Linked DNA regions of Canis lupus familiaris. The protein of the gene in region 1 purifies or fractionates together with the protein of each later gene. This does not show direct contact. Links are inferred from orthologs where the notes say so. Each region holds a gene or a part of one and is shown on either strand. Other genes may lie near its edges. The genes, in order: RNF7, RAB40B, TULP4, ASB6, SPSB2, ASB7 and RAB40C.

The links.
Region 2: the proteins of RNF7 (region 1) and RAB40B purify together in Homo sapiens (affinity purification with mass spectrometry; 3 studies listed by BioGRID and IntAct, with this or other methods). This does not show direct contact. The link is inferred for Canis lupus familiaris from reciprocal best matches to the Homo sapiens genes RNF7 and RAB40B.
Region 3: the proteins of RNF7 (region 1) and TULP4 purify together in Homo sapiens (co-immunoprecipitation; 3 studies listed by BioGRID and IntAct, with this or other methods). This does not show direct contact. The link is inferred for Canis lupus familiaris from reciprocal best matches to the Homo sapiens genes RNF7 and TULP4.
Region 4: the proteins of RNF7 (region 1) and ASB6 purify together in Homo sapiens (co-immunoprecipitation; 4 studies listed by BioGRID and IntAct, counting the BioPlex papers as one, with this or other methods). This does not show direct contact. The link is inferred for Canis lupus familiaris from reciprocal best matches to the Homo sapiens genes RNF7 and ASB6.
Region 5: the proteins of RNF7 (region 1) and SPSB2 purify together in Homo sapiens (co-immunoprecipitation; 3 studies listed by BioGRID and IntAct, with this or other methods). This does not show direct contact. The link is inferred for Canis lupus familiaris from reciprocal best matches to the Homo sapiens genes RNF7 and SPSB2.
Region 6: the proteins of RNF7 (region 1) and ASB7 purify together in Homo sapiens (co-immunoprecipitation; 4 studies listed by BioGRID and IntAct, with this or other methods). This does not show direct contact. The link is inferred for Canis lupus familiaris from reciprocal best matches to the Homo sapiens genes RNF7 and ASB7.
Region 7: the proteins of RNF7 (region 1) and RAB40C purify together in Homo sapiens (co-immunoprecipitation; 4 studies listed by BioGRID and IntAct, with this or other methods). This does not show direct contact. The link is inferred for Canis lupus familiaris from reciprocal best matches to the Homo sapiens genes RNF7 and RAB40C.

Annotation. Positions count from the first base shown.
Region 1 is NC_049244.1:38,109,685-38,113,751, reverse strand, and holds the start of RNF7 (RING-box protein 2), read right to left. Parts: upstream 2,801-4,067; 5' UTR 2,707-2,800; coding exon 2,532-2,706; intron 2,313-2,531; exon of another isoform or gene 2,245-2,312; intron 1-2,244. UniProt on the Homo sapiens protein: Catalytic component of multiple cullin-5-RING E3 ubiquitin-protein ligase complexes (ECS complexes), which mediate the ubiquitination and subsequent proteasomal degradation of target proteins.
Region 2 is NC_049230.1:581,015-585,185, reverse strand, and holds the start of RAB40B (ras-related protein Rab-40B), read right to left. Parts: upstream 2,801-4,171; 5' UTR 2,748-2,800; coding exon 2,579-2,747; intron 1-2,578. UniProt on the Homo sapiens protein: RAB40B small GTPase acts as substrate-recognition components of the ECS(RAB40B) E3 ubiquitin ligase complex which mediates the ubiquitination of target proteins.
Region 3 is NC_049222.1:48,221,970-48,225,962, reverse strand, and holds the start of TULP4 (tubby-related protein 4), read right to left. Parts: upstream 2,801-3,993; 5' UTR 2,727-2,800; intron 2,320-2,726; exon of another isoform or gene 1,774-2,319; intron 1-1,773. UniProt on the Homo sapiens protein: May be a substrate-recognition component of a SCF-like ECS (Elongin-Cullin-SOCS-box protein) E3 ubiquitin ligase complex which mediates the ubiquitination and subsequent proteasomal degradation of target proteins.
Region 4 is NC_049230.1:54,248,449-54,251,519, reverse strand, and holds the end of ASB6 (ankyrin repeat and SOCS box protein 6), read right to left. Parts: intron 2,984-3,071; coding exon 2,875-2,983; intron 2,259-2,874; coding exon 2,172-2,258; intron 2,048-2,171; coding exon 1,380-2,047; 3' UTR 501-1,379; downstream 1-500. UniProt on the Homo sapiens protein: Probable substrate-recognition component of a SCF-like ECS (Elongin-Cullin-SOCS-box protein) E3 ubiquitin-protein ligase complex which mediates the ubiquitination and subsequent proteasomal degradation of target proteins.
Region 5 is NC_049248.1:7,948,372-7,952,584, forward strand, and holds the start of SPSB2 (SPRY domain-containing SOCS box protein 2), read right to left. Parts: upstream 2,801-4,213; 5' UTR 2,627-2,800; exon of another isoform or gene 2,498-2,626; intron 1-2,497. UniProt on the Homo sapiens protein: Substrate recognition component of a SCF-like ECS (Elongin BC-CUL2/5-SOCS-box protein) E3 ubiquitin-protein ligase complex which mediates the ubiquitination and subsequent proteasomal degradation of target proteins.
Region 6 is NC_049224.1:40,784,668-40,788,758, forward strand, and holds the start of ASB7 (ankyrin repeat and SOCS box protein 7), read right to left. Parts: upstream 2,801-4,091; 5' UTR 2,281-2,800; intron 2,130-2,280; 5' UTR 2,035-2,129; intron 1-2,034. UniProt on the Homo sapiens protein: Probable substrate-recognition component of a SCF-like ECS (Elongin-Cullin-SOCS-box protein) E3 ubiquitin-protein ligase complex which mediates the ubiquitination and subsequent proteasomal degradation of target proteins.
Region 7 is NC_049227.1:40,431,896-40,435,960, forward strand, and holds the start of RAB40C (ras-related protein Rab-40C), read right to left. Parts: upstream 2,801-4,065; 5' UTR 2,644-2,800; intron 1,901-2,643; 5' UTR 1,819-1,900; coding exon 1,677-1,818; intron 1-1,676. UniProt on the Homo sapiens protein: RAB40C small GTPase acts as substrate-recognition component of the ECS(RAB40C) E3 ubiquitin ligase complex which mediates the ubiquitination and subsequent proteasomal degradation of target proteins.

The DNA.
Region 1 (4,067 bases):
CAAGTTAACATAAATAGCCACGAAGGGTTACTCTGGCTCTTTATAATTCAACAGTACTAGCAAACCTATTTTCCTCTTCAACAATTGCTCACTGTGTCATCTGCTCCTTTCAGAATGAAGGGAGAAGAGTGGAAATCAAAGAAGAGAGTGTTAACCACATCAGAACAGGCTGACAGGCAAATTTTGGATCAAGAAGTCATAATGAATCATTTAGGTGATTTATGAATTTGAAATATTAAGGAGATGGAATTAAGTGGGCTCTTTTGCAGAATCTAGAAATTTCTGGATTATGATTTTGATTGAGCTTTGATTAGACTCATCAAAACCCAACCTAAGAGTGAAAAACAACAAAACCCAACCTAAATCTATAAAAATTCATAGTTTTAGATAAAGAAAATTCTTTCCATGATATTCCTAAGATCTAAAACAGAACATTTTTAAGGAGTACAATTACAGCAATACCTTTTAGAATGATGCTACTAGGGTAAGGCTTAGGAAGTCTGAAAAACTTCCTTCTGTTGTCACCTGGCCACTAAAATGGATTTTAACACCTCATAAACAAAATACAGAGGTCTAGTCCAGAATACTTTCCTTAACTCAAAGGACAGCTGTTGTAAATCTGCAAAATTAATCCACAGTCAGAATACTTGCTATAATTAGAAGGTTACTATGAATGTCAACCATTTATAGCCCATATTCTGACTTACTCTAAATATGCCAGTACAGTTTATTTGTTGCAGTATTTCAACCATTACTTTGAATTCTGCATTTCTACTTACAAATCTAAAATCTTTCTTTGGGGAGAAATATAAAAAACACTTTCTGGAACACTTTCTTTTTAACTAAAGGAAATTTAAAGGATAAAACATTAAGCAAAGTTTGCTATGCAAAAGAACAAAAAATTAAGTTGCCTGGATAAGTTAATGATGCCACTCAAACTGGAAATTATGATAGTTTAAGTAACCGAGGCATAAGGGAGTGGTAATGCAGACCAATAAACTGGGTGCTTTTAAGACCTAATATGCAAAATAAGTGGATCGTGTCTGAAATCAAGTTCTTTCAAAAGTAAAAAATATCGTTCCAATTTTAGCATAGGTACTGCCCAAGCGGGCACTCAAAAGTAAAAAATAAACAATACTTGAATCCTATTGTCATAAATACTCTCTGAAACAAGATTTTATGAATAAAAAACAAGTGTGCTTAAAAAGAGTGGAAACTGAGATTCTCTCCATTCTAGCAGGTTTTAATGTCATCCCTTGAGAGAGCAATTCTGTTTATTTTTCTCCAATTCTCTCATTTTTCAGAGCAGGACACGAAGTTTTCAAACTGCAGAACCTCAGTTTTCCCCACCTACCCCTAAGAAACACGAAGATCCTCTCTCCGTGTTTTGATTGTTCTATTAAAAAAATAAAAATAAAAAAATAACTTGCGTTTAGGTAGCATTGTCTTTTGCAAGGTGGTTTGAGATCTTAAAAAAAAAAAAAAAAAAAAAAAAAAACAGAGAGCATATAAAACGTAACAGGATGAAGCTGCTCTGAAAGGTCTCGTTTGGCCCAGTGTTTTCATTTGGAAGTATCACAGAAAAGAAGTCGAGACTTGATTTGTGCAAGAGGGCTCTCCATAAAGGTCTGACTCGGAGCAGGGCAGGATCGTTGTTTTTTTTTTGTTTTGTTTTTTGTTTTTCTTCAGGAAATGGCATCCTATGATAGGGAGGGGCCAGAAGGAGATGGAAGCTTTATGTTTCTGAATAAGAGGGCATCCACTCTTCCATTCCTGAGAACCTTCAATATTTTATTTTATTTTATTTAAATGTTATTTATTTATTCATGAGAGACACAGAGAGAGCGAGAGAGAGGCAGAGACACAGGCAGAGGGAGAAGCAGCTCCCTGCGGGGAGCCCGACGCGGGACTCGATCCCGGGTCTCCAGGGTCACGCCCCGGCCTCCGGGGTCACGCCCCGCGCTGCCCCACGTCCTTGAACCACCCTGTGTCTCTCCGAGGCCCCATCGCGGCGCGGGCAGGTCCGCAGGCCTGCGCAACAGCAGTTCGCCAACCCAGACACGCGACGGCTGCCGCGCCTCCCGCCGCTGCGGGGCGGACTGAGGGGTCGCGCCGGTGGGAGCGGCCTCCAGAGCATCACCCCGGCGGGTCATCGCTGCCGTTAAGGTGCCCTTACTCGCCCGGGGCCTTTCACGCCGACCCCTCCGCGCCTGGCTTTCAAGAGCTGGAGCTCGCCGCACAAACCTAAGTGGCTTCTCTTCGCTGCCATCAAATGACCCAGTTTTAGTTCTTCGGCCACACCCTTTCTCTACCTGGAATTACATCAATTCCTCCGCTCGCTGCCCGCGTCCCTCCCGGGCAGCCCCGCTCCCGGCGCCCGGCGCCCCCGAGCCCCAGCGGCGGCCCCCGCGCCCCGCCCCGCCCCGCTCCTCCCGCCCCGGGTCTCGCCGAGCCTGCTTCCCCCGGCTGCCCCCGCCGAGTCGGCCCCGCGGAGGCCGTGGCGCGGCCCGGGCCTCGCGTGCAGCGCTTACCCATCACCTGGACCCTGCAGATGGCGCACGTATCGCACTCCACGTCCCAGCTCCACATGGCCACCGCATTCCACTTCTTGAGAGAGAACATCTTGTCGCCTCCGGACTTGGAGCCTGCGCTCCCGGAGTGAGAGGACACGGCGCAGGGCTCCTCGCCGTCTTCCACGTCGGCCATGGCGGCGGCGCGGAGCCGGCAGCCGAGACGTTAAATCGGGGGAGGCGGGCGGCTATGGCGGCTCCGCGGGGCCGCCCGGCGGGCCAGAGCGCCCCCTGCAGGCCGCGGACCCCGGCGGCGCCTACGACCCGGGCCGCCTCGATTGGCCGGCGCGGCCCAGTGACGTCACTGACGCCAGCGCCCGGCCGCTCGTCGCCCCGCCCCGCCCCCGGCCCGCGGGGGCCTCCCGGAGGGCGAGGCCTGCGGGGCGACTGCGCGCGAAGCCTGGGTGCCCGCGGCCCCGAGCGCCCTGCGCAGGCCCCGGGCGACCTGCCGTGTGCCTGCCGTGTGCCTCCCGGGAGCTCAGCGCCCTCACAGGCCTCTCGTTCGTGGCACCGCCGCCACCCGCGTGTGGACCCCGCCGGAGCGGGGACCGCGTCTTCGCCCTCGGCGCCTCGTCCTCCGTATGCAGGAGACGTTTGCCTCCAGGTCTTCCGACAAACCTGGTTCAGCGGTTCTCAGACTTTCGGGGCTCAGCACCCCGATGTAGTCTGTCTGCTTTTTAAGAAGCTTAAATCGACGGGCAGCCCGGGTGGCTCAGCGGTTTGGCGCCGCCTTCGACCCAGGTCGTGACCCTGGAGACCCGGGATCCGGATCGAGTCCCACGTCGGGCTCCCTGCATGGAGCCTGCTTCTCCCTCTGCCTGGGTCCCTGCCCAACCCCCCTCTGTCGCTCATGAATAAATACATAAAATCTTTTTAAAAATTTGAGGGGAGGATTGAAATGCATCCATTTAAAAGTAACGGTAACAGGGGCGCCTGGGTGGCTCAGTGGTTGAGCGTTTGCCTTTGGCTCAGGTCGTGATCCTCGGATCCGGGATCGAGTCCCACATCCTTGCAGGGAGCCTGCTTCTCCCTCTGTCTATGTCTCTGCCTCTCTCTGCCTCTAATAAATAAGTAAAATCTCTCTCTAAAAAAAAAAAAAAAAAAACTAATAGTAATCATCTCATTACAAGTTATTAGAGGGATGGTGCCCATATAATGTAGCTTCTGGAAAACGCTCTCATAAAGAGGGAAAAGAGGGAGAATAGCTCTGAATCCTGGCATGCAAATAGTTTTGACCCGCTGGTCGCCTGCAAGGATGCCCCGGACGCAGGGGTCCATGCTCCAAGAACCTCTGCTGCTGTTTAACCTCCTCTTTTTAATGTGTAGGAGTAACACCGCTATTATCATGTGAAGGTGCCAGTTATGAAGCCTGGGCGCTTCTCTTGCTAGCCTCGGGGTCATGTTCTTCTGTTTTCTCAAGCAAAGAGACAACATCTTCCTTTTTAAGAGATAAGAAAGTTGAGGTACCAAATGCCTAAGGAGGTGACTCATTACCAC
Region 2 (4,171 bases), on another chromosome or scaffold:
CCTCCCCAAGCCCCCAGCAGAATGCAAAGTAGAACGTGTCTAATAATAATAATAATAATAATAATACTGGGAAAGATTTCAACTTCTTAAAATCCCTGGAAAGTGTCTTTTTTAACCTAAGTCCTCCCTCGGGGTGGAAGAAAGACCTTTGGGGGAAAGTGCTAATTCGTTGCTTTTACAAACGCTCAGTCTACAAATAACAAGAAAGAAGGTAACGCAGCAGAGCCACCCAAGCTCTGTTCAAACCACCAGGACACCCACTCTGTCCACACTCCTCCCACCGGCCCACATCGCTCACCCACTAGGGCTCGTGCCCCCAGCCACGCAGTTTTAGGAGCACCGTGCTCTATGTGCCCGATGTGTCTTCCTTCACCTCTACGAGCTCCTGCACCCACTGAGCCCCAGGCCCTGCGGAGGAAACTGCAGACACAACCCGCTGCCCTCCTGGAGCCCGAGCCCCAGAGCGGCGCCTGCCAGCAGAGCCCTGCTACAGGGTCACAGGCCAGGGGCTGCTGTTGAGCACTTGACCCACGATTCATAGGAACCTTTACTTGTGTTTCATTGTAACTACTTTATTTTTTTTTTTAAGATTTATTTATGATAGACACACACAGAGAGAGAGAGAGAGAGAGAGAGAGAGGCAGAGACACAGGCAGAGGGAGAAGCAGGCTCCATGCCGGGAGCCCGACGTGGGACTCAATCCCGGGACTCCAGGATCGTGCCCTGGGCCAAAGGCAGGTGCCAAACCGCTGAGCCACTCAGGGATCCCCCTACTTTAAATTTAAAAATCACATGTCACTGATGGCACCACCTTGGATGACACAGATCTGGAATTAGAGACGGAATCTGTATTTTCACAAGCGCCAAGGTTGACTCTCACACCCTCAACCTCAGGAATAGTCCAGGTTCTTGGCATCGGTTCTCCGGAACCTTCCCGACCTCCTCCCAACTTTCTCCCCGGCCCAACACCTCCAATCTCACAGGCCCGCCCCAGGCCATTCCACCTGAGCCTCTCCTCCCTGCTCAGAAGCCCCAGGCTCCCCTCTCTGCCAGCTCTGCTGACCACTGTTTCCCTTCGCGTCCCTCACCCCGCAAACTTTGCCCTGCACCCCTGCCCCTCTTGCCTCAACTCAAGTTCATTTGCTGCTGAGGTCCTCTGGACCCAGGACGTCCTCCTCTGGACCGTTGCCTCAATTCTACCCTGGTCAGGGCAGGAAGCACACCTGCTGGCTTGAACATCAACAGACCCCTTGCTGGGCCGCCCTCCTCTGCTCCTGGAGACCCCGACTGCAAGCCCAGGAGACAGAGGGGGCAAGACCTGTGTTGGAGGTGCGCCTGGAGCCTCTGACACAAGGGCTGACAGGTGCCCTTTGCAGCCACCCGCACCGTCAGAGCGGCCTGCCTGGGTGAAGACCTGACTCGGCCCCTGCCCGCTGGTCCAGCTGGATGCCCACCTCACTGGCCTCCCCTCGCCATCTCTCCCTCCTAACGCCGCACACCGCCTTGGGGCCTCTGACCCTCAGACCCCCAGACCCCAGCTTTGAGGATCCTCCACCCCCTGTCCTCCCTGAGCCCTGTGGCTTCTCCTCCACCTGAACCCTCACTCCTTCCCTTTCCGTGGTGCTTCCCTTCCCGCCCTCAGGCCGCATTCCCCAGGGTCATTTGGGTTTCTTGCCCTCCGGGATCCTGTTTGCAGAGGAGGAGCCTCTCCAGGCTGGTTAGTTCTCTTGCTTCCTCTCCCCTCGGCTTCCATCCCTCCCACGCGCAGAGCCTCCACCTGGGAGCCTCGGCCCCGTCCCCTCCCGCCCGCTCCGTTACCCCCACGCATCCTCTCCAAACGCGCTCGCGGCCTCCCAGCCGGGCGCACGCAGCAGCCCCGCTACCTCCTCCCCAAAGCCCACCTGCGTGGTCCGCCCGCCTCCGCCGGGGCCGAGGTACCCCAGAGCCCTGCCCGGCCGCTGGCTGCGCGAGGAAGCGGACCTTGGGGAGACCGTAGACCGACGTGCCGCGCTCCCCACGCGCGGACCTGGGGTGCAGCCCGGCCTCCTGCGGAGCGCGCGCCCGACTCAGGCCCAGGGCCGAGAGCCTCGCGCGCCTGGATCCCGGCCCTTCGCGCGCTCCACCGCCTGGCTCTGCGCCCCCGGGCGAGGGCCTCCCCCGGCCGCTGCGCCCCCAGCTCCTCGGCGCGCTCCCCCGGTGCCCGGCTCCCCGCGCCCGCCGCGCGCTCCCCCGGCCCCTTGCGCTCGGCGGCTCCACGCCCCCCGGCCCTCCGCGCGCTCTCTGGGCCCCCGCTGGCTCCCCGCCCAGCCCCTCCCAGCCCGCCGCCAGGACCCCAGCCCGCCCCCGTGCGCTCCCGGCACCCCTCCCTCCCGCCCCCCCTGCGCTCCCGGCGCCCCCACCGCGAGCTCCCGGCCCCCCCCACCGCGAGCTCCCGGCCCACCTCGCCCCCCCCGTGCGCTCCCGGCCCCCCTCCCTCCCACCCCCCGTGCGCTCCCGGTCCCCCCACCTCGAGCTCCCGCCCCCCCCCCCCACCGCGATCCCCCCGGGCTCTGCTCCCGGGTCCCGGCCCCGCGCTCACCCGCCGGGTGGCCGTAGGGGGACTCGGCCGCGCCATCCTGCAGGCTCGCCAGGATCTCGCCTTTGCCCACGTCGCTGTCGCCCACCAGCAAGAACTTGAGCAGGAAGTCGTAGGCGCGGACCGGGCTGCCCAGGGTGTTCATCGTGCGGCCGCCGCCGCCTGCGCCCATGCCCGGCCCGCGGGAGGCACAGAGGCCCCGCGGTCCGCCGCTGACAGCACGGAGCCCCGCCCCGCCCGCCCCGCCCCGCCCCGCCATTGGCCAGCCGCAGTTGCTAGGGCGGCTGCGCACGCTCATTGGCTGCGCTGCCCGTCCATCTCCCCTCGTCTCCGCCCCTCCCGGGAGGCTTTGGTCTTCGCCGCCTCTGCGGCCGGGGGCGGGGCCGGGGCGAAGCGGGGCGGGGCGAGACGCGGCTGTGACGGCCACAGCCAATGAGGTCCGGAAGTGGGCGGGCCGGGGGCGGGGCCTGGCCTCCCGGCTGCCGCGCCCTCCACGCGCTGCCACCTGCAGACTTGGCGGGGCCGGTTCAGTTGGCGGACGTGCAGCCGGGAGGCCAGAACCAGGTCGTCTGGCGTCCGGGGTCCCTGTCCCGCGTGGGCCTGGGCCCGCGGTGTCCCCCAGGATTTCCCGGGGCCTCGTCTTTGTCCCCGAGCGCGTGGGCGCGAGTGCCCGTGTGTGTGCGTGCGCCTGTGCACGTGTGCACGTGTTCGTGTGTGTGCATCGCTGCGCCCTGCATGTGCATGGGTGTGCGCACGTGAGCCTGTGCGCGTGTTTCTGGGGGAGCTGAGGGACAGGCAAGGTGGGGACCCTCCAGGCCTCAGACTTCTCCCCGCATCTAGGGAGTCATGGACGCTGGACTGAGATTGGACCGCTTTGCTTTCAGATCCAATCCCCAAATTCCCTGCGGGGATCACCCTGATGGGAATCCATGCCCCTTCTGGACCAATACAAGGGCCCTGTAGTAGAGCCTCTGGCAGCACCCCATGGGGAAGATCCCATATCCTTGGCAGCCCTGTGTCCATTCTTAGAATGTCCTCTGAATATGCATAATCAAGGTCCCCACCAGACGACCTCGGGGCTCTAATTACCTTACAAAGGCCACATCTCCAGGTATTATCACACTGGGATTTAGGGGTTCAATATATGGTTGGGAGCATATTCAGTCCACAGCAGGCATCATGGTGGGGAGGGGGGCAGGCCTACCCCGAGCAGGAATGAGCTCTGGGGTGAGGAGCTCTGCCCGCTGAGAGCCAGGGCTGGGAGGTTTGTGCTCACCAATCCCTCAGTCAGCCTTTCCCAGGGCCCTCGGACAGTCTCGAGGTCCAGTGTGGGATGTTTGAACCAGCCCCAGGGGTCCCAGGGGTCTGGATTGTTCTTTGTGGTAGTTGTTCTGCGTTGCTGGACAGAGCAGCATCCCTGACCCCTATCCGTTAGATACCAGGGCACTCTTCTCCCAGCTGTAACCACTAAAAACGTCTCCAGAATTGCACATCGCCATTCCTCACCTTGAGATGAAAACAGGTCGCCCCCAGCAGTCCCCATGAACACGTCTTGACTCACGGTGGCATTAGGTGGTAAGGGCAGGTCACATGTGA
Region 3 (3,993 bases), on another chromosome or scaffold:
ATGTGAATGTACTAATGCCATGGAACTGTTAAGATGATAAATGTTATATGTATATTTTGCCACACAAACAACAGTATGTTTGGTATGTTAAAATTGAGTAACTGAACATTATCCCAGCCAAATTAAAAGAAATTTTACATTTTAATTACATATTCCCTGCTGTGTCAGCAGTCTCCCTGGGCAAATGAACAATTTCAGGAAGGTAATACTGAAAATACTTCACAGATTCCTAAAGAGGAGCCAATGCAATAACTAAACCAAAGTATTTCCTGACAGAAGTTTAACTCAATTTTTAATGAGTTTTTGTGAATCACATGCATAGCTGGCCCACTCAATCTATCTTCAATCTTTCTCCACATACGGAAAAGAACAGGAGGGAGACTGCAATTGATATTGCAAGTGCAGTGGAACAGATGAAGAATAATGTCTTAGCTTCACCATGCACATGGTAGGCACTCAATAAACATGCCTGATTTCGGATACTCAGTAAAACCAAGAGAAAACCTGGGCTTCACTTTCTGTCCCAGACACTAGCTAGTGAGAAGGCAGACATTCCACTCAAAGGAAGGCCACTGTCTCTCTACTTCTTCCATTACTTCCATTACCATGTATCCTTATATAGGTCAAAGAATTTTTTTTTTTTTTAACTCAAGAGTTTGGGTGGGAAAAACGCGTGAATAACCAAACTACCACTCTTATAGCTCCATATGAAAACAGAAAGTCAGTCCAACATGACACACACATCTTTTCTAAATGAAGTCAATTTTAAAGTATACAGTAGAAAATACATTATTATTATTTCTCAGGCACAGGAAGCAATGCTGGCTTCCTACTCTTGTATCCTGAGAGCTCCACTGTATTAGAAATTTTCCCCATATGATTTCCTCTAACTCAGGTCTACATACTTCTAACTCTAGAGGTCAACCACCTTCCCCCATCACATGAAGATCCTGCTACTTTCACAGCCCTTACTAAAATAGAGCACTTAAAATTCTTAAAGAAAATTCACGTCTTCAAATAACTCTTTCCTACAAATTAAGTACTATTCTTTAAACTGAGGAACTAAACACTAGATTTGGCTTTTCACAATTTATTCATATATTCATTTCCACGATAGTAAACTATCAAGAAAAGAAGGGGGGGGGGGGTCGCCTGAGGTCCTCCAGGTCTTAATGTGGCTATCATTGCAAAATGTTGGGATCAGCTCCCAATATGCCCCACCAGACGGCCAGGAGTCTGGGCAGCTAGCTGCTCTCTGGATTGCAGTGTGGCTCTGTGCAAGGTGCCCTGTCACTTCACATCCATCACGACCTCAAATCCCAGCTATCTGGTGCTGCCGGGCCTGGTGATGAGCCCTCTCCGGGACCACAGCACCATTCCCACGGGCCCCGAGGGCCAAAACTAAATTCCAGTTACTAACAAATGGAAACCCAAGACACAAAGAAGCAGAAATAAAGGGACCCCCGCAAAGATAAGATTTTTGCATTCCTCAAAACCTTAGAAATGAATGTTCTTTCTCTGTGCTTTTTCAAAAACCTGTCTACTGGGAGTCCTGGAGTGCCAAATAGAAAGAGAAGAGCCCCCAACTAAATACAGAAATCCAGGAAACAGTTCCCTGCAAGGGAAGCTGACTGTCCCCAGGAAGAGAAGTGTGTCGGAAGACTTTCTGATCAGCAATTAGCGATTTAGCAGGTATTTAGCAGGTAAGTCGCATCCATCCCCGGGAGGACCGTGTCACCCTCATTTCCTTCCACAAAGCCAGGTGGCCCTCACCTTTCCAACCTTGAAGTGATGTGGCGAGGAAAAGTCAGACACCTCTCCCTGCTGCTGGCCCAAGCGGGTCCAACTTCAGAGCCAGCATCATGCACTTTGTTTTTAAGCGCAGGGAAAAGAGGAAGGGTTGGTATTCTGAGCGGAATCTCCGTTGATTTGCCAGAGGAAACCGTACAGACCAGACAGCAGAAGCGCCAGCGTTTCCATGCAGCTGCCACGACAGGTGACCGGGCCGCTCTGCAGACGCCCCGCACGCTCGGGGCTTCGCCGAGGTGGGGCGGGAAGGGAGGGCACAGCCTGGAGGACGGAAGGTGGGCAGGGGCAGGGGCAGGGGCAGGGGCAGGGGGGAAATCCACTCCGTCCGCACGCTGCGGGTGGGGGTGGGAGGAAGAGGAGGAGCACAGCCCCGTCTCCCCGGGAAACCGTTTTAAGGGATCTTCTCTCTCCACAATTAAGAAGAAGAAGAAAAAATGGCTCCGAGCCAAACGCCTCCTGATTTACACACACACGCACACCAAGCTCTATTTCGCCCCATTTTCCTGTACGCTGAAACAAAAGGCGAACACGGCTCAACAGCAGGCAGCGCCGCCCGGAGCCCGCCGTCCGCGCCCCCGGGAGAGCCCACCCGAGGCGGCCCGCCCGCCGCCGCCGCCGCCGCCGCCGCCCCCCGCCCCCCGCCCGAGGACCGGCCTCCCGCCCCGGGCCGGGCCGCCGCCGCCCTCCCCGCCCGCCGCCGCCGCCGCCGCCGCCGCCGCCGCCGCCCGCGCGCCCCCCGCCCGCGCGCGCACACGGGCCTGGCCGGCGCCGGGGGCCGCGAGCCCACCTCGAGGGGCGGGCGCCCGGCCGGGCTCGGGAGGGCGCTGCCGGCGGCGCCGGGGCCCGCCGCCTCCTCGCCGCGGAGGGCGGCAGCGCGCGGCCCGGCGCCCGTGACAGCGGCCCCGCGCCCGCCTCACCTCCTAGCGCCCCGTGGCGGCGGCCCCGCGCTCCTCCGCGCCTCTCCGCCTCCGCCTCCAGCAGCCCCGCGCCGCCGCCGCCGCCGCCGCCGCCGCCGCCTCCCCCCGCCCCGCGTCTCGACCGAGTCTCCGCCTCCCTCGGCCGCCGCCGCCGCCGCTGGGCCCGGCTCCGCGCCACGTGACCGCGCCACGTGACCCGGCGCGGCTGGCAGGCGCCTCCCCGGCCGGCCTCGCGCCCTCGCGCGCTGGGGACCCGCGCCCCGCCGGTGGACGCCCGCCCCGCCCCGCCCCGCCCGGCCCCGCCCGGCCCCGCCCGGCCCCCCGCCGCCCGCCGCCCGCCCGCCGCCACCTGCTCGCGCTCGCCTCCGCCCCGCTGCGCTCGCCCGAGCGCACACTCACGCGTGCACACACCGGCGCTCACGCGCGTGCACACGCGCAGCTCGCCGTCCTCGCCGTGCAGGGCTGCTTCCCAGCCTGCTCCCACGAGGAAAACAAAGTAGTCGGCTCTGCGCCCCCCCGACCTGAGAAATCCTGCCCACCCCGCAACGCGACGGCGGGCGCCCTGCCCCGGCCCGCCCTGGGCCCGCCCTGGGCCCGCCCTGAGCCCGCAGCGGGCGGGCGTCCCACCGCGTCCCAAGTTGGAGCCACCGGGAAGCGCCGAGGCGACCGTCGTCCCAGTGTCTCCGGCGGTGATCTTGGACCTCAGTGTCTGCTGTTCGGTTGGTCTTACAGGGAAGAGACCAGACGGCGTCGTTTCAACAGAGAGAGAATTCACTGCTCTTCTTCGCCACCGCATTGATGTCGTGCTAGGAACGGAAACTTTGTGCATCCATCCTGCGTTTTCCGTCGTGGACAAAGAAATAGCATCACTGATTGTGTGATTGTTCCTATATGTGTACTTAAAAAAATTTTTTTTAAAAGTCCAAGCAGACAAGATTGGGATGCCCTGGAGGGCTCGGCTCAGTCCGTTAATCTGGGACACTGGATCTCAGCTCAGGTCTTGATCTCAGGGTCCCGAGTTCAAGCCCCCTGTCGGGCTCGGCACAGGGCTGGGCTGGGCGTGGAGCCTACTTGTAAAAATTAACTAATTTAAAAAAAAATAATAAATCAGCATTCTTTCTTCCATAAGGCATCAAAGTCCTATGTAGTTAAGTGTAGTAGACACTCTTGGCGTAGATTCTGCACTTTTTTCTATTTTGCCTATTTGCCAAATTTTTAAATCGGCTTCAGATTTAAGAATTCTTGCTTCTGTGAATTTCTGGTTGTC
Region 4 (3,071 bases), on another chromosome or scaffold:
CCCTTGTACCACCTGGCCTTCCAGCTGTAGGCCTGGCTGCCTTAAGAGGAAGAGAACTCTCGGTCATAGAGGACTTTTTTCCCTTGGGGGGAGGAGAGGAGCCGGGCCTGGAGCTGGCACTGTCACCCTGTTGCTACGGCGAGCCTGGGCAGGCCTGCTACCTCCTGCAGCTGCTGGGGATGTTTGCTTTCTGAGGCCTGTGTGGTGATGGAGCCCTGGTGTCCCTAATGTGATCGTTACAAGTCTGCAGCCTCACTCCTGGCTGGGCCTGGCAGCTCCTCCTCGGTGAGCATTTTCAGTCAGAAAATAAAAGGGTGAATCCTGTAATGGGAAGGCCCTAGCCAGTGTGGAGTGGTACTCTTTTTTAACTGGGACAGCAGTGCTGTGTTAATTGTCCCCACCAGATGCTGCCGTCCCCTAGTGCTTCTCACCTCTTAATGGCTGCAGTGGGAGCCTTTATCTGAGGCTGGGGAAGGGTGAGGGGCCAAAATGTCACCTTGAAGGCCAAGAGAAATGTTTTACTTTATAATGTATCTTTAGTTGCCTCAGCTTGCTTCCCCAGCATTTACACAATTCATAAGGGCCCATGTGCCTGGGACTCGGCTTTGTGAGGGCTCGGCCTGGGCAGTACAGTCAGCTTTCAGCAGTGTAGCTTTCTTCATCAGATGGACCCCTCACAAAATTGTGAGACATTTTGGAAAGGACTGTCTCTGGTCATGCAGAATTGCTTTTAGCAGAAGACATGGTCTCCCAAGGTCCCAGGTTTGGCACAGACAGCTGCCACCAGAGTCCAGTCCCGTGCCTTGGTGGCTGGGCCGTGGGTGACCTGGTCCCAGAACGGCCAAAGGTGGCAGGGGTCAGCTCAGCTTTCTCCCTAGCCCACCAAAAGCACTTCTGTATGTGACATAATCTAGCATGAGGAGAGGCTGGGAGTGAAGGGCCTTGCAGGGTTGTCCCCCACAAGCCTACCATGCTTCCTTCTGGCTTTAGTTGGGCCCCATGCAAGACAGACCAGCCTCCTACAGTTCTCAGGAGGACAGAGACTCAAAGCTACCCTGCCTGATGCTCCCTGCAGACGAGGTGTACACTTGTCCCAAATCTACACCCTGTCCCTTTTCCCAATGTGGTTGAGACTTGGGGGTTCTGGCAGACAGAAGGGGGGGCAGTCCCCCTGGAAGACAGAGTTTTTTTCCCACAGGAATGACCGCAGCTGCTGGGCTCCACCTGTGTTCTTGGTACACAGTTAGGATCAAGTCTCCTCTCCCAACCTGTACCTTCCGGAAGATGGCCAGAAGGTTCTCCCCTAAGGCTGCCACAGGTACCAAAATCCACCAGCAGGCTGAGCTGCCCAGACCCTGCACCCTTCCATCCGGGAGTGGTCAGATGTCCTCTTCAACGGTACCACTATGCTCACTGAGGAGGTACCATTTCAGCCTGTCAGGCAGAGGTAGGGCTTTGACCTTCGCATCCACAGGCCAGGGCTGAAGATAGAGCCGGATGTAAACCCGACATAGGTGCTTGAGGGATGGAGGATAGCTCTCCAGCTGCCTCAAGGAGAAGTGAAGGGCCTGGATCTTCTCTGCTAGACTGCCCACAGGATGGATATCGAAGTTTTCAGGCAGCTGGAGTTTCTGGGAATTCGTCACCATGAGATCTAGGACGGTCTCAGCTTTGCGCAGGAGGTCCACGTGGCTCTCATCTTCAGCACAGCCTGGGTGGGAACAGAGCCTCTCAAAGATGATGTGGAAGCCAGACCAGCAGGATGCACCATGGAGGGAACAGTTATAGGCAGCTCCAGACTCCAGCAGGAAGCGCAGGAGAGGGAAATGCAGTTTGAAGCTCTTGAGGCAGATGTGTGTGAGGGACTCGTGGGCTGGGCACTCGCTGGGGTCAGCCCCATGGGCCAGGAGCAGCTGTGTGACTTGGAAGCAGAAGCGGCTGATCATCTGGGCCTCTTCTTTGTCCCCTCCCACCGTCTCACCAAGCAGGAAGATGATGCAGGTGAACACAGTGTCCCCGTCTTTGGTGGTAGCCTTCACATCTGCCCCTACAAGAGCCAGTCAGGAAAAGAGAAAACAGGAGAAGGTCTTAAATCCCTGCAAAGTAATGCTTCATGTTTAATGGTGGGAAGAAAGAGAAGGGCCTGGGAACAGCCTGTGGACCAGCCTCACCTCCTTCCAGTAAGAGCCGGATATTCTCAGTATTATAGATCTGCACCCCGTCACTGCTGGCCAAAGCATGGAGCAGAGCAGTCTTTCCTATGGAAGGAAGAGAATGAGGAGTGTGGACCAGGAAACCAAGGTCAGGACCACCCCTCAGGTGCAGGGGACACCACAGGATGAGAAAGTGGACTTTGTTTTGTCCTCAAGGATTTTAAGTAATCTTTACACCCAACATGGGGCTTGAACTCACAACTCTTGAGATCAAGAGTCACATACTCTACCAACTGAGCCAGCTGGGCACCCCCCAGAAAGCAAACTTTAAAAAGGACCAACTTCTCAGCCAAGGTGGAGGGTGATCGGTTTCTAGTCATTCCCTTTCCACCAACACAGAACCAAGAGCAGAGTGGCCAGAAGACGTGGGATATTTCTGGACACGCAGATGCTGCTACCTGAGACCCGGGCTTAGTCTCTGCCAAGAAGTGCTAACTCTGCCTCAGAATCTGACCACATGCATGCCCTACTTCCTCCTGCAGACAGACCTCAAGGGGCTGGCGTGGGGCCAATGGCTGCACCACTTCCTGAAAGCTTCTGCAGGTCAGCAAAATGCAGCAAAATCTAGCCTGCACACCTAGCCACTGTCCTGGGGTGCTCTGGCTTTCCCTCGCAAAGCACCCGGTGCCAGGTGCCCTGCTTTCCTGTGGGAGGCACCCACCATGCTTATCAGCCGCGTTGACGTCTGCTCCAAGATCCAGGAGGCGCTGCAGGCAGGGCAGGCGCTCGGGCTCCTCACTGGCCAGGTCCAAGGGGCTGCTCTCATGGATCTGAGCCAAGAAAGCATAGCTGAATGGGCCTGGGGGCCTGTGAGGCTGCCCATAGCCCCCCACTCACCACATCCCTGCTTCAGAGCAG
Region 5 (4,213 bases), on another chromosome or scaffold:
AAAAAAGGAATGAAATCATTCAGGTATTTCACCATTTTTGCAGCAATTTTAACATATTTATGAAGAAGTGATCTGGGTTTCCCTTCCTGTTTATCATATCTTTATCTTCTGGGATGATTTTATCAGTTCCTCATTCTTTTTATTAGTGTTTCTCTGTGGCTTCCAGCTTCAATTTCTTTCACAAAGCTAACATGATTCACTTGCTAGGCCACTTGAACAGTGTGTTTCATTTCTTGGTTAATAGAAACCCCTTAAAATCCTAAACACATTCTTCTTAACATGCATGGGCTGTTTTAAGCTTGATTGTTGCCATGACTGTTTAATATAAGTGATGTAACTGGCAATACTGAAGATTGTCCAACTCTTCCAACACATTACCACATTTACTTATTTTTAACAATTTTATCTATGTGACACAGAGTATAAGCAGCCAGAATGGCAGGCAGAGGGAAAAGGAGAGGGAGAAGCAGAGGGAGGAAGAAGCAGAGAGGGAGAGGGAGAAGCAGGCTCTCTGATCCCTGCTGAGCAGGGAACCCAACAGAGAGCTCTATACCAGGACCCTGGGATCATGACCAGAGCCAAAGACAGATGCTTGATTGACTGAGCCACCCAGGCACCCCTCATTATCACATTTAGATTAGGGTCAGCACTCATGGCTCTGGGAGTCAGAGAGGAATCTCACTCATTCCCATAGATGTGGCTTTGAAACAGCAAATCCTGCCTAGGTCAGCAAAGTGAAGGACAAGGGTGATATTGGGGAGAGGTAGCCTTTTACGTCTTTTGGAGCACGTTCATACAGTGTGGCCCCTCAGATGGTACTGTAGTCTATGCTCAACACTAAAGCCAAAGCCTTTCTCTATAAGGTCCTACTGGATTTCTAGAATGTAGAACTATAAATCCCAATTGTGGAAAGCGCTGCAGTCATCTAGCACTTTACATTTAATTGCTGGAGTACAAGCAGATCTTTTTTGTTTTTTAGGGCACTGGCATTTGTATCACTGTAGAACATGTCTGGCTTTATTACATACAGGGCTACACTGCCGCCATGAAAGAGGGACAGAACGGTGGTCACAAGGTCATTAATTGTTTTCAATCCAGGGCCTGTGTTTCTAGTTTGGAAATATAAAAGCAGTTGGGGGGGATCCCTGGGTGGCGCAGCGGTTTGGCGCCTGCCTTTGGCCCAGGGCGCGACCCTGGATCGAATCCCACGTCGGGCTCCCGGTGCATGGAGCCTGCTTCTCCCTCTGCCTGTGTCTCTGCCTCTCTCTCTCTCACTGTGTGCCTATCATAAATAAATAAAAAAATCAAAGAAAAAAATTTTTTTAAAATAAATAAATAAAAATAAAAGCAGTTGGGCCTTGTCCCCTGCGCCCCCCCCCCCCCAACCCCAAGATACCAGCCTCATTCTATTACAGAAGATAGCTATTTGGCCAATAATTGTTTTTAGTAGCTCTGGGTGAGTTTTACTCCCTGTTCTCCTTGGCTATGTTTGAAATTCTTCCACCTGAAGCTGTCTTCTCTGGCAGGAGGCTTGAACTCTGACTTGAGTTTCTTTTTCCTTGCCTTGCCAGGTACTGCCGTCATTAAGCTCATATACCTGACTCCTTTTTCCCACCAGTAAGTTCAGTGCTCTTTCAGTCTTCATTAAAGGCTTATCATCACCTGTACTTCGCTGTCACTAGCAGTTGGGGGAGAGCTTGATGACCTGGCTCCCAAATTCGTGGGCTCTTGACCACTCGAGAGGATTTCTTGGGGTCGTATTAACGTGCCACGCTGGGGCGGACAGACGGCCGTGGTGCTTCACACGGGGCGTGCGTGGTACAAAAGAGGCATCTGAACGCTAGAACCTAGTTTTAAAACCGGAATACGAGCACTGCGGTCCGCCCCGTCGGACGGAGGAACCGCGAGAACTGGAGCCCCGGAGAACACGGTCTGGCCCGCGGTCGGACGCCCGCGCGGAACCCAACGCTGGCTCGCAGCCTCCGGCCCTGTTTAACGGGCTCACGCCGGCGCCTACGATGAAACTCCGCCGCATCCCAGGAGACCTGACATCTCCGCGCCAGGAGATCCCCATTTTTACAGATTCGTAGCCCGCGGCCTGGGGAGGCGACACGACCCGCCCCAGACTACGGGGCTGCCGGATGGCAGCATCAGGACTTAAAGAGGGGAGCCGCTCGCAAAACACAAGGGCGGCGACGAAATGGCGACGGAAAATCCGTCGGCCTGGGCGACGCGCGGCTCCCCGCGCCGCCGCCCCGGGCGCTCGTTTCGTAACCGCGGCGGAGCTGGCGGCGGGCGGCGGGCGGGGGCGGGCGGGGGCGGCCTCCTGGCCCGCCGCGGTCACGTGGGCGGGCGGCCTGAGCCGGGGCTCGCGCGCCCCCCAGCGGCCGCACCCGTGGCCGACCGCCGCGGTGGCAGCCCCGCCCCCGCCATCCGCCTTCCGGCGCGTCTGGAACGTTCTGCGCCGGAACAAAGGCCCCGGGGCGGAAGCCCGAGCCCGAAGCTGAGAACCGGCGCTCGGAGGCGACGGCCCCTGAAGCGGGCGGCGGACGGGGGCTCTGGTTCAGGGCTCCAGAGAGGCGTGGAAGGGCCGGGGCCGTCGGCCAGGTTCGGGCTCCAGGCTCACCTGCTGGGTCTCTACAGTCAGAGGCGCCCTGTGGTTCCACCTCGCAGTTCCTCGCTCCGCCCCCTGGCCTCCCCGACCAGTGTAGAGGCCTGCCCACCCTGAGGGAGTGAAGCTCTGTGCACCTTGGAGCGGGGAGGCCGGAAGTAGGAGACACCCCGGTTCTACTAGAAACGCTAGGGTAAAGGAGCGCACACCTATTATGATGATCATAAACGCTTTAGCTCCGCAAACCTCACCTAGATTAGTCATCAGATATCTTGCTTGCCAAGTCTAATACGCTTTTGTTTATCCTTGCTAATTTTAAAAATACTGACTCGAGTTTTTCTAGTTTTTCTTCCACCTTTATATCCTTCAGGGCCTCTACTTCTAGTGAACCCCCCCTCCGTCTCTCTTTTTTTTTTTTTTTTAACATTTATTCATTCATGAGAGAGAGAGGCAGAGACCTAGGCAGAGGGAAGAATAGACTCCCTGCAGGGAGCCCGACTTAGGACCCCATCCTAATCCTAGGACCGAGGGATTTCGACCTGAGCCAAAGGCAGCTGCTCAACCACCGAGCCACCCAGATGCCCCTTCTAGTGAATCTTAATGGGGTATAGCACTGGCTTGTGCTTGGTTCATTCCTCCTCAATGATTCTCAAAGTGTAGGGAGGAGGGAAGGACGTTTTATCCCTGTGGGTAAATCCAAACCGATGGGAGGATGTCCCCGATTACTTCTTAAAAGAACATCGAGGGACACCTGGGTGGCTCACTGGTTGAGTGTCTGCCTTTGGCTCTGGTCATGTTCCCAGGGTCCAGGGGTAGAGTGCTGCATCAGGCTCCCTGCAGGGAGCCTCCTTCCTCTGCCTCTTTCTCTGCCTCTCTCTCTCTGGATCTCTCCTGAATGAATAAATTAAAAAAAAATATATATATATATATAAGCTATATGTAAGCTACATAAGCTATATGTAGGTTATGCACTGTACACCATCTACATATACACACTCCTGTGTGTGTGTGTGTGTGTGTGTATTTCTTCCTTTTCAGATTCAAATTATACTCGAGACTAACACCTTCCTAGTTGTGATGTGCTACTAAATGACACCGGGCATGGCGGCATGGCGGGGAGAACAAAAAGCCCTAATTTGGAGCATTTACTGAAATGCTAAATACTCCCCCCATGACTGATTTCAAGAGGTAAATAACTTTAAGAACATAGATAATAGCAACATTGTTAGGTGTGGAATTTGCCCTCTTCTGGTCCATATTTTGAAGCTTTAACTCCCAGTACCTCAGAATGTGGTGTATTTGGAAATAGGCCCTTTAAAGTGATGATTAAGTTAAAATGAGGCCGTCAGGTAGGCCCAAATCTGACTGGTGTCAGTTTGAGAAGAGGAAATTTGGACACAAAAGTGCAGTGCACAGAGAAGACTGTGTGAGGACACAATAAGGCAGTCATCTGCAAGAAGGGCCTCAGAAGAAACCAAACCTACTTACTGACACGTTGCCCTAAGACTTCTTGCCTCCAGAACTATGAGAAAATTAAATTTTCTTGTTAAAATACTCAGTGTTTTGTTATGGCAAGCTACTATAAAAATATAGTAGAAATAA
Region 6 (4,091 bases), on another chromosome or scaffold:
ATCAGGTTCTGGACCTTTCTTTCCTTTAAAAACCCATGTACCTGGCAAGCGAATTAACACAAAATTAACTACCAGGTTGAAAAAAATAAACTGTCCATGTTGGTAAATAATTACCCAAATTAAACATTTCAAATGTTCAGCATAACCTAGACCAAACACTCTCAATCATGCTAATATTAGAAACAGATGTCAACAATTTACATTTACATATATATTCCCTAATCTTAGAAAAACCGTCAAAAGCTGAGAGGATCGATGAAATATTATTTAAGCAATGAGAATGACCTGCCTAGCAACCAGGATAAAGGAGTGTCGTCTCTATACCTTGCATACTTGACTTGCCACAGACCCACTCTCTTACAATCTCAGGTGATAACACCCCTTGTAAATGAAAACATGCTAGAGTTCTATATCTAAAGTAGAAAATAAAAATATTTATGTGAGAAGGTCTGAACAGAAAACGCATAATTCATTTGTACCTTAAAAACATACTTCAAGTATGTTAGCATATTTAAAAAAAAACAATTCCTAAAGCCATCATTAGGCATTTCTCTGGTAATTTGCACATTTAAATAATGAAAATTCCCTTTAACTTGACAGACTTCTGCCTAGCTTTTACTGAATTGAAGTGGATCCCATGTACACATAAAGGCTGTCCTAAATGTTCACCGTGAACGTCTAATCACTGCTAGGTACTTATTTCCAATCTCATTCAGTAGCATACACTCTCCCTTTGGTGACCAGTTCCAGGTCTCAAGAACACAAATCCTCAGAGAACTTAAAAGTATCTTGACTGACGTCTTCACAATTAAAAATAATCAGGAAAGGCATTAATTTATTTTTGTAAAAGGCAGAAAGTCCAGTGGAACAGAGTAAATCAAAAATTTCCTAACAACTTGTTATTTTAAGTACTTCTTTGTATCTGAAATTCCCTAAACAATCTTAGATATTAAAATAACTCTGAGATTAACAAGTCACTTTATACCCCTGTTACCGGATGGCAAAGAAGTCATTCACTTGACTAATTTCTGAACTAACTCTTACATAATTTCCCTGATCATATTCCCTCTTTAGGAAGTACATGAATGTCCTACACTTACCTTTAATGCATTTTCAGAGGCAGCCACAAAATACAGCGGCAGAAACGTGATCACACGAATGAGATGCTTACATTTCAATCTAACAAATTATCTGTAAGGGTTTTGAAGAGATCTTATCTACGAAGAGTGCAGAAACAAAGCCCTAGATTCTAAAAACACCAAAACATTCCCGTGTTTTCAAACTCTTGAGTGTCAACTGATTAACAAAATATTGTATAAAGTTTTGGAAGTTCTTCTAGAAAATCTATGGTGCAACAAATATAACAGTTTCAAGACCCATCCACACCTGTCACACAGAAACACATAAAAGCTGCAAGAGTTAATTATGCTCAAGTGCTTCAGGGGCAAATAACTGGTTTCAACTATCCACACTATCCAGGTACACAGATTCACTTTTCACGAGAAAAAAGTCACATTGTCTTTCGAAACTCATAAATTTCAAGCCACTACTATGCCTTCCTCTACTAAACCCTTGTCAGTTAACTGAAAAGATTTTCTGATGAGTGAGTGGAGAAAAGGTGATAGGAAGACATAAGGGGAACACAGAAAATTGTGGTTTAGTTAAAAAGCAGAATCATTCAGAATTAACAAGCAATTAACAAGGAATTGAGGAATTCCTAAGAGAGTAAGGGGGAGGGGGGGCTACAAAAAGGTCTCAAAGTCTCAGAGCAGAGTAAATGGTACAGTGCACGGAAAGGATAACGCAAAGAACGGAAACACAAGGTACACAGAAAAAGAGGGAAATAGGCTTCTGAGAGAGAAGTTATTAGTTAAAATCTTAAGGATCAGGCACAGGCAGTGTTTCGTTCTTGCTGGGGAAACTGGGTGCCAGGAAAGAGCTGCATTTCCAGGTAACTAGGCTGAAAAGAAAGCAGTGCCTAATGAGGTAGGGGCCAGGAATAAACAATGGGGGAGGGGAGGTCTGGCTTATTACCTTTACAGAGGATGCTGATCAGAGGCTCTCGGCGGCTTCTCCGGTGGGCGGCTTGACCCCTTCGTGCTCTCTGGTCTCCTCCAGCCAGCTCAAACCTGGAACGCAGAGACCTGTGAGTGGTGCAGGGACCCAGGGGCTGTGAGGAAGGGGTTAGCCAAGGAAGAGTGGTAAGGGCAGGCGGGAAGGAGCAGGGATTCTCCCTCCCCAGCCAGCGCCCGGCCCCTCGGCGGAGGTAACTGACTTTACCTGTCTCCTCAGCTGCTGCTTCTCTTCCTCCTTTCAGGCTTCTCCACACTCACCAACTTCTCCATTGAACAAACACTCCAGGCAGGGCCGGACACGGGTGTTCCTGATCCTTCTCGGTGCCTCACGGCCCCAGCCCGGCGAGCATCCGGACAGCCGGGCAGAACGGAGGCGACGGTCCTGGGCGCCGGGCAGCCTCGGGGCAGGGGTGCAGGGAGGAAGTCCCGGCTCGGGTGGGGGGGCAGCCCCGGTCTGAGGGCTCGGAGCAGGGGCTGCCGCGCTCCGGGCCGGAGGCTCCCAGCTACGGGGGCACACGGGAGGTCTCCGGGCAGCGAAGTCCCAGGTCATACAGGGTCCGAAGTGCCAGCCGCGGGGGCTCCAGGCAGGGGGCTTTCGGGATGCACTTTGCACTGGGCCACCCCCGCCCCCTCCCTCCAGCACTTTGGGGTCACTGGGATGGGACCAAGCCTTCAGCAGCCAATCAGCGGCCGCATAGGAGCCTGAGCCCGGAGCCGTAAACCAGGTCCGGGGTGGGTGGGGGTGGGGGGTGGGGGCGACTTGGTTGGTTGGTTGCTTCCTTCTCTCCTCCTTACCCACGGCAGCCCCCACCCCTTGCCTGCCGTAAAGCCGTCTGCGCATTCGCGACAGTTAGGAGAGGCGTGCCGACCGAGGCTGGGACTCGTTTCGGATTGGCCTCGCTCACTTCCCCCTCGGCTTCCCCCTGAGGCTTCCGACGCTCCGCCCCTGGCGGAGGGACTCGACGCGGTTGCTAAGAGACGCCGTCCGCCGAACGGGCCCTCTGCGCATGCGGGAGGGGAGGTCGGCAGGCGCTTTCCGAGAACTACGGTGGCCGGGAGGGTGCCCCTGGTCCTTGGAGCGGCGGTGCGAAGGCTGAGTCTCCCACGCCAGATCCCCGGCAGGTAACTGGGAGCGGCGGCGAGGAAGGCGTGTGTGCGGCCGACTGAGAGGCTGGTGCAGGAGTCTAAGGTTGGGGAGGCGGCAGTCCCCAGGAAGCGAGGAGAGAGGGACGCCGCGTGCCGCCGCCCGCCCCCCCCCCCCCCCCCGCCCCGCAGCGCTTTTCAGGCGCGGGTGCCGGGTCCGCAGCTCGTCTTTGGGTCCCTGAGGCCCCTTTAGCTACCAGGCTGGGCTTGCCTCGCCCGGCGAGGAAAAGAAGACTCTCTTTGGGATGGCGGTGACGCTGCAAGAGCCTTCCTGCAAGGACAGGCACCCTGACGGATCTCTGACAACGGAGGGGACAGGAGACCGGACCATACGCGAGATGCACCTGTCCATTGAGTGCATGGATTCATTTAGCAAGCGTTTGTTGGCCGGGAGCTGTTTCAGCCGTTAGGGAGACAAGAGGGAACAAGGTAGATGGAATCACTTGTCCCCGTGGAGCTCTCGCTTTAACCAGGGAGACAGATAAACACAAAATTATCAGATAGGGATAACTTATACAAAGGAAGTCGAAGAGAACAATAGGATCGAGTTTGACTAGGACCTGCTGGTTAGAGAGGTAGTCAGGAAAGGTCTCTGAGGAAGTGACATTGGAGCAGCGATCTGAATGAGGAGGAGCCAACCTTGGCACGATCTGGGAGGAGGTGGGGGCGTGGGGAAGAATTTTGCTGGCAGGTAGAATCAACAGTGCAAAGCCTCTGATGCTGGATTAACCTTTGCTGTTTAACAGAAACTGCAAGAAAGAAGATCAGCGTAGTCGAGCAGAGTGAGTAAGAGGGAGGATGATTGGTAATGACGTTGCGGGTGTGGGACAGGCCGCAGATCTTTGCAGGACCTCGTAAGCCATGGTAGGGAAG
Region 7 (4,065 bases), on another chromosome or scaffold:
TCAGGCAGCTCACTGCCAGCCCTATTCCAGTCAACGTGTCACAGGAACCGTGGCAACCACCACAACCAACGAGGGGCATACGGTGGCCCTGTGTTCCCCGAGTGCCGGCGGCCCCCACGTGGAACACCTGAGGGTGAGGCTGCGCTGACTCTCAGAAGCACGTTATCAACGTTCCAGGAAAACACTGCTGCCCCGGACAAAGCCCGGCCTTCTCACGCTCTTGTAAACACGCCCCAGCAGCCACCCAGGAGTGGGGCTCTGGGAGGCGATGCCCCTACTGGAAAAACACCTCAACCACTCACTGTCTACGGCGGGAAGGACACCTCTGACAATCACTGCCAAGCATCCGCTGGCGAGGGCCTGCGAGGGCCCCAGCGGAGGCCCTCCTTCACCTTAAAACAAACCCGGGGCCCCTCCTCTCCTCCCCTTCCAGTTGTCTCCTCTAAGGTGGGGCAGAGGGCATGAGCTGCAGGAGGGGCCACGGTATAAATCCAGCAGAGCTGCCCCCTGCTGAAGCGGCTCCAGCGGGAAGGGCAGTCAGCAGGTCCAGCTCATCCAACAACCCCGACAGGTCCTAAAATGAAAGGGTCGGAGTAGCAGCGTCCACACCGTCAGCCGCCTCCAGGTGATTGAGCAAACAGCAAACACTTAGAGCAGTGCGACAAGACCGCCAAGGGTCCAAGACACAAAATAGCAAAGGGCTGGGGAACAAAGACCAGAAGAAGTAGGAGGAGATGGAGCAGGACTTCCAGGAGCACACAAGGTCCCTGCGGAGATGGCTGCCGGGCCACCAGTAGATTTCCTGGTTCCCCTCAAAGAAATCCTCCTGGGGCTGGGGCCCCCACGCCGGGAGGCACTGACCTCGCTGCCTTTCTTACGTGAGATACGTGAATTGGCAGCAGCTCTGACAGGTGCCAGGCTGTGTACCCACCCTACCCTTCACCAACACAAGCAGAAATTTCAGGAGTATGTAGTCACACCGGGAAGAGAATGTCTCCTCCTAGCATGACATGTTGGGCCCGCACGGAGCTGCCACCATCTCAGGGTGCGGCCTGCCTGCACACCTGGGCCGTGGGGTCACAGCAGACCTGGCACACCTGGCACAGTGGCCCCCACAGAGCACGGGGCAGGGGGTGTGACTGCAGGCGGGGATGGCCAGGGTGGTGGTGTCACTGCCGTGGGGATGGCGGGGGCAGGAGTGTCACTGCGGGCGGGGATGGCCGGGGCAGGGGTGTTGCTGTGGGCGGGAATGGCCGGGGCAGGGGTGTCACTGCGGATGGGGATGGTGGGGACAGGGGTATCACTGCAGGTGGGGATGGCGGAGGCAGGGGTCTCACTGCAGGCGGGGATGGCCAGAGCAGCGGTGTCACTGCAGGTAGGGATGGCCAGGGCAGGGGTGTCACTGTGAGTGTGGATGGTGGGGGCAGGGGTGTCACGGTGGGCGGGGATGGTGGGGACAGGAGTGTCACTGCGCGCAGGGATGGTGGGGACAGCGGTGTCACTGTGGGTGGGGATGACCAGACAGAGGTGTCACTGCCGGGGGGGGGGGGGGGGGGGCGAGGGGGGCGGGGGAATGGCCGGGCAGTGGTGTCCCTGCGGGCCGGGTGGCGGGGCAGGGGCGCCGCGGGGATCGGGGCCTGCGCGGGGCGGGGCGGCGAGGCGGGGCGCGGCCTTACCGTTGCTGTAGGCGTACGGGGACTCGGCCGCGCCGTCCTGCAGGCTCTCCAGGATCTCGCCCTTGCCCACGTCGCTGTCGCCCACCAGCAGGAACTTGAGCAGGTAGTCGTAGCTCTTGACCGGGCTGCCCTGCGTCCCCATCCTCAGGCGCGCGCGGGCCCCGCCCGCATGTCCCCCGCGCCGGCCGCGGGCGCACGGCGGCACCAGGAGGCCTCGGACCGACCTGCGGGCCCGGGCGCGGGTGAGTGGGCGCCGGCGAGGACAGGACGGGCCCGCCCCGTCGCCCCCGCCGCCCGCGCCGCCGCCTCGCCTCGCCTCGCCTCACCTCAGCGCCGCCGCCGCCCCGCCGCCCCGCCGCCCCGCGGCTCGCCGCTTCCCGCACGGCGCCGCACAGCCCCGCGCCCCGCCCCCGGCCCGAGCGCCGCCATTGGCCGCCCCGCGCCCGCCGGCCCCATTGGCCCGTGCGCACGTCCGTCACGCCGGCCCGCCCCCCGCCGTTTCCCACACCCCGCCGTTAAACCTCCGGCCGCCCCGCCTCCGCGCCGTCGCCATTGGCCGCCCGCCGCCTCCTCCCGTGCCCATTGGTCCGCACGCACGTCCGTCACGACGGCCCGCCCCCCCGCCGCTCCCCCCCTCCGCTCTCGGGGCAAGATTCCAGCCGCCTGGCCTAGCCGCCGCCGCCCTTGGCCCTTCGCCTCCGGGTTCCCCGGCGCCCCTGGCTCGCCCGCACATCCACCAGCACCTTCACCGCCCCCGCCGCGCCCCGCAGAGCGGCCGGAGTCGCCAGCCACCCTGGCCCCCCGCCCCCGCCCCGGGAACGCCGCGGCCCTCGCCCGCCCCCTCCCCGCCGCCATTGGCCACCGCTGCCGAGTCTCCCACAGCCACTGGCCCGCCCGCACGTCGATCACGGCCCGCTAAGCCCGCCCCTTCGCCCCGCACTTCCCGCCCCTTTCTCTACACGCTCACCAATCGGGAGCTCGGGGCTTCGGTTGTTTGCATACGCCCCCTGCCCGCGGGCCGTGGCGGTCCCCGGCCGAGGCGGCGCGCTCGGGTCCCGGGGGACGAACGCCGCTCGCCAGCCGCGGCGCTGCTCCCGCGGAGACCCCAGTCAGGGCGGGGAGCCCCGTGCGACTGCGCCCTGGGAGCCGGCCTCCCCGCGGTGGGGCGGGGCCCGGGCGTGGCGGGACGGGGTTGGCCAATCAGCGCTCGGAGGGCCGGGGGCGGGACTTCCGCTCTCGGCGGGGCGGGGCGGGCCGGGGCCGCTGCGGGGGGAGGGGGGCCGGAGCGGCCCAGAGGGCGAGGGCGAGGGCGAGGGCGGGGGCGGGGGCGGGGGCGGCCTGGGTCGCGCGCGGCCCACGGTGCTGGAGGCTCGGCAGCGCCTGCCTTCGGACCCGGGGCGGATGGCTGCCCCGGCCCTGGGTTCGCGGCGGGAGCCCCCCCCCCTCCCCCCCCGGGTCAGGGCGGGTCAGGCGGGGCGGGGGTCCGGGAGGAAGCGCCTCGGCGGTTGTTTACAGGCTGCACCCGCTGCTTTACTTAACGGACAGAGAAGCGTGAGGACCCCGCGAACACGCGTGACGACGCAGCTCCTCTGCAAAATGGAAAATAAAGCAGAATAATACCCTCCCCACCCCTCGGCCTGTGGGCCCGGACGTGGGGGCAGCCGGTGGGGGGGGGCGAGGGGGAGAGGAAGGGCGAAGGGGGCGAGGGGGGGTAGGGAGGGGGACCTGGAGGGGAGGGGTGGGGAGAGCCGCGGGGGGGGGTGCTGGGGGGGTGAGGGGGACCTGGAGGGGAGGGGTTGGGGTGAGCCAAGTGGGGGGGTGAGGGGGACCTGGAGGGGCAGGGGTGGGGGGAGCCGGGTGGGGGGATGCTGTGGGGGTGAGGGGGACCTGGAGGGGCAGGGGTGGGGGGATGCTGGGGGGATGAGGGGGACCTGGAGGGGTAGGGGTGGGGGGAGCTGGGGGGGTGCTCAGGGAGAGCTGAGGGGGACCTGGAAGGGGGGGAGCCGGTCGGTGTGGGGGTGCTCCAGGAGACCGGGGAGCTACGGAGAGCCTGCGCCAACAGTGAAGAACTCCAGTGACAGCAGAGCATCACCAGGATCATTTGAACATTTATGCTTTTAAAAAATTACCGACTCCTTTGATCCCAGGCTTTATGCATAGAGAAGCTCTGTGTGCCCAGGAAGAGGCCTGGGACTATGCCCTCCCGGGGGACAGCATGACTCCATCAGGGACCCAGAGTGATGACCTTTGTTTTAATGGAACGTATTTACATGTGACCCCTAATAATGAGTGACTCAGAAAGTTAACTATAAAATACCAGAGAGGGGGCAGACTGGGGGGGCTCAGTGGTTTAGCGCCGCCTGCAGCCCAGGGTGTGATCCTGGAGTCC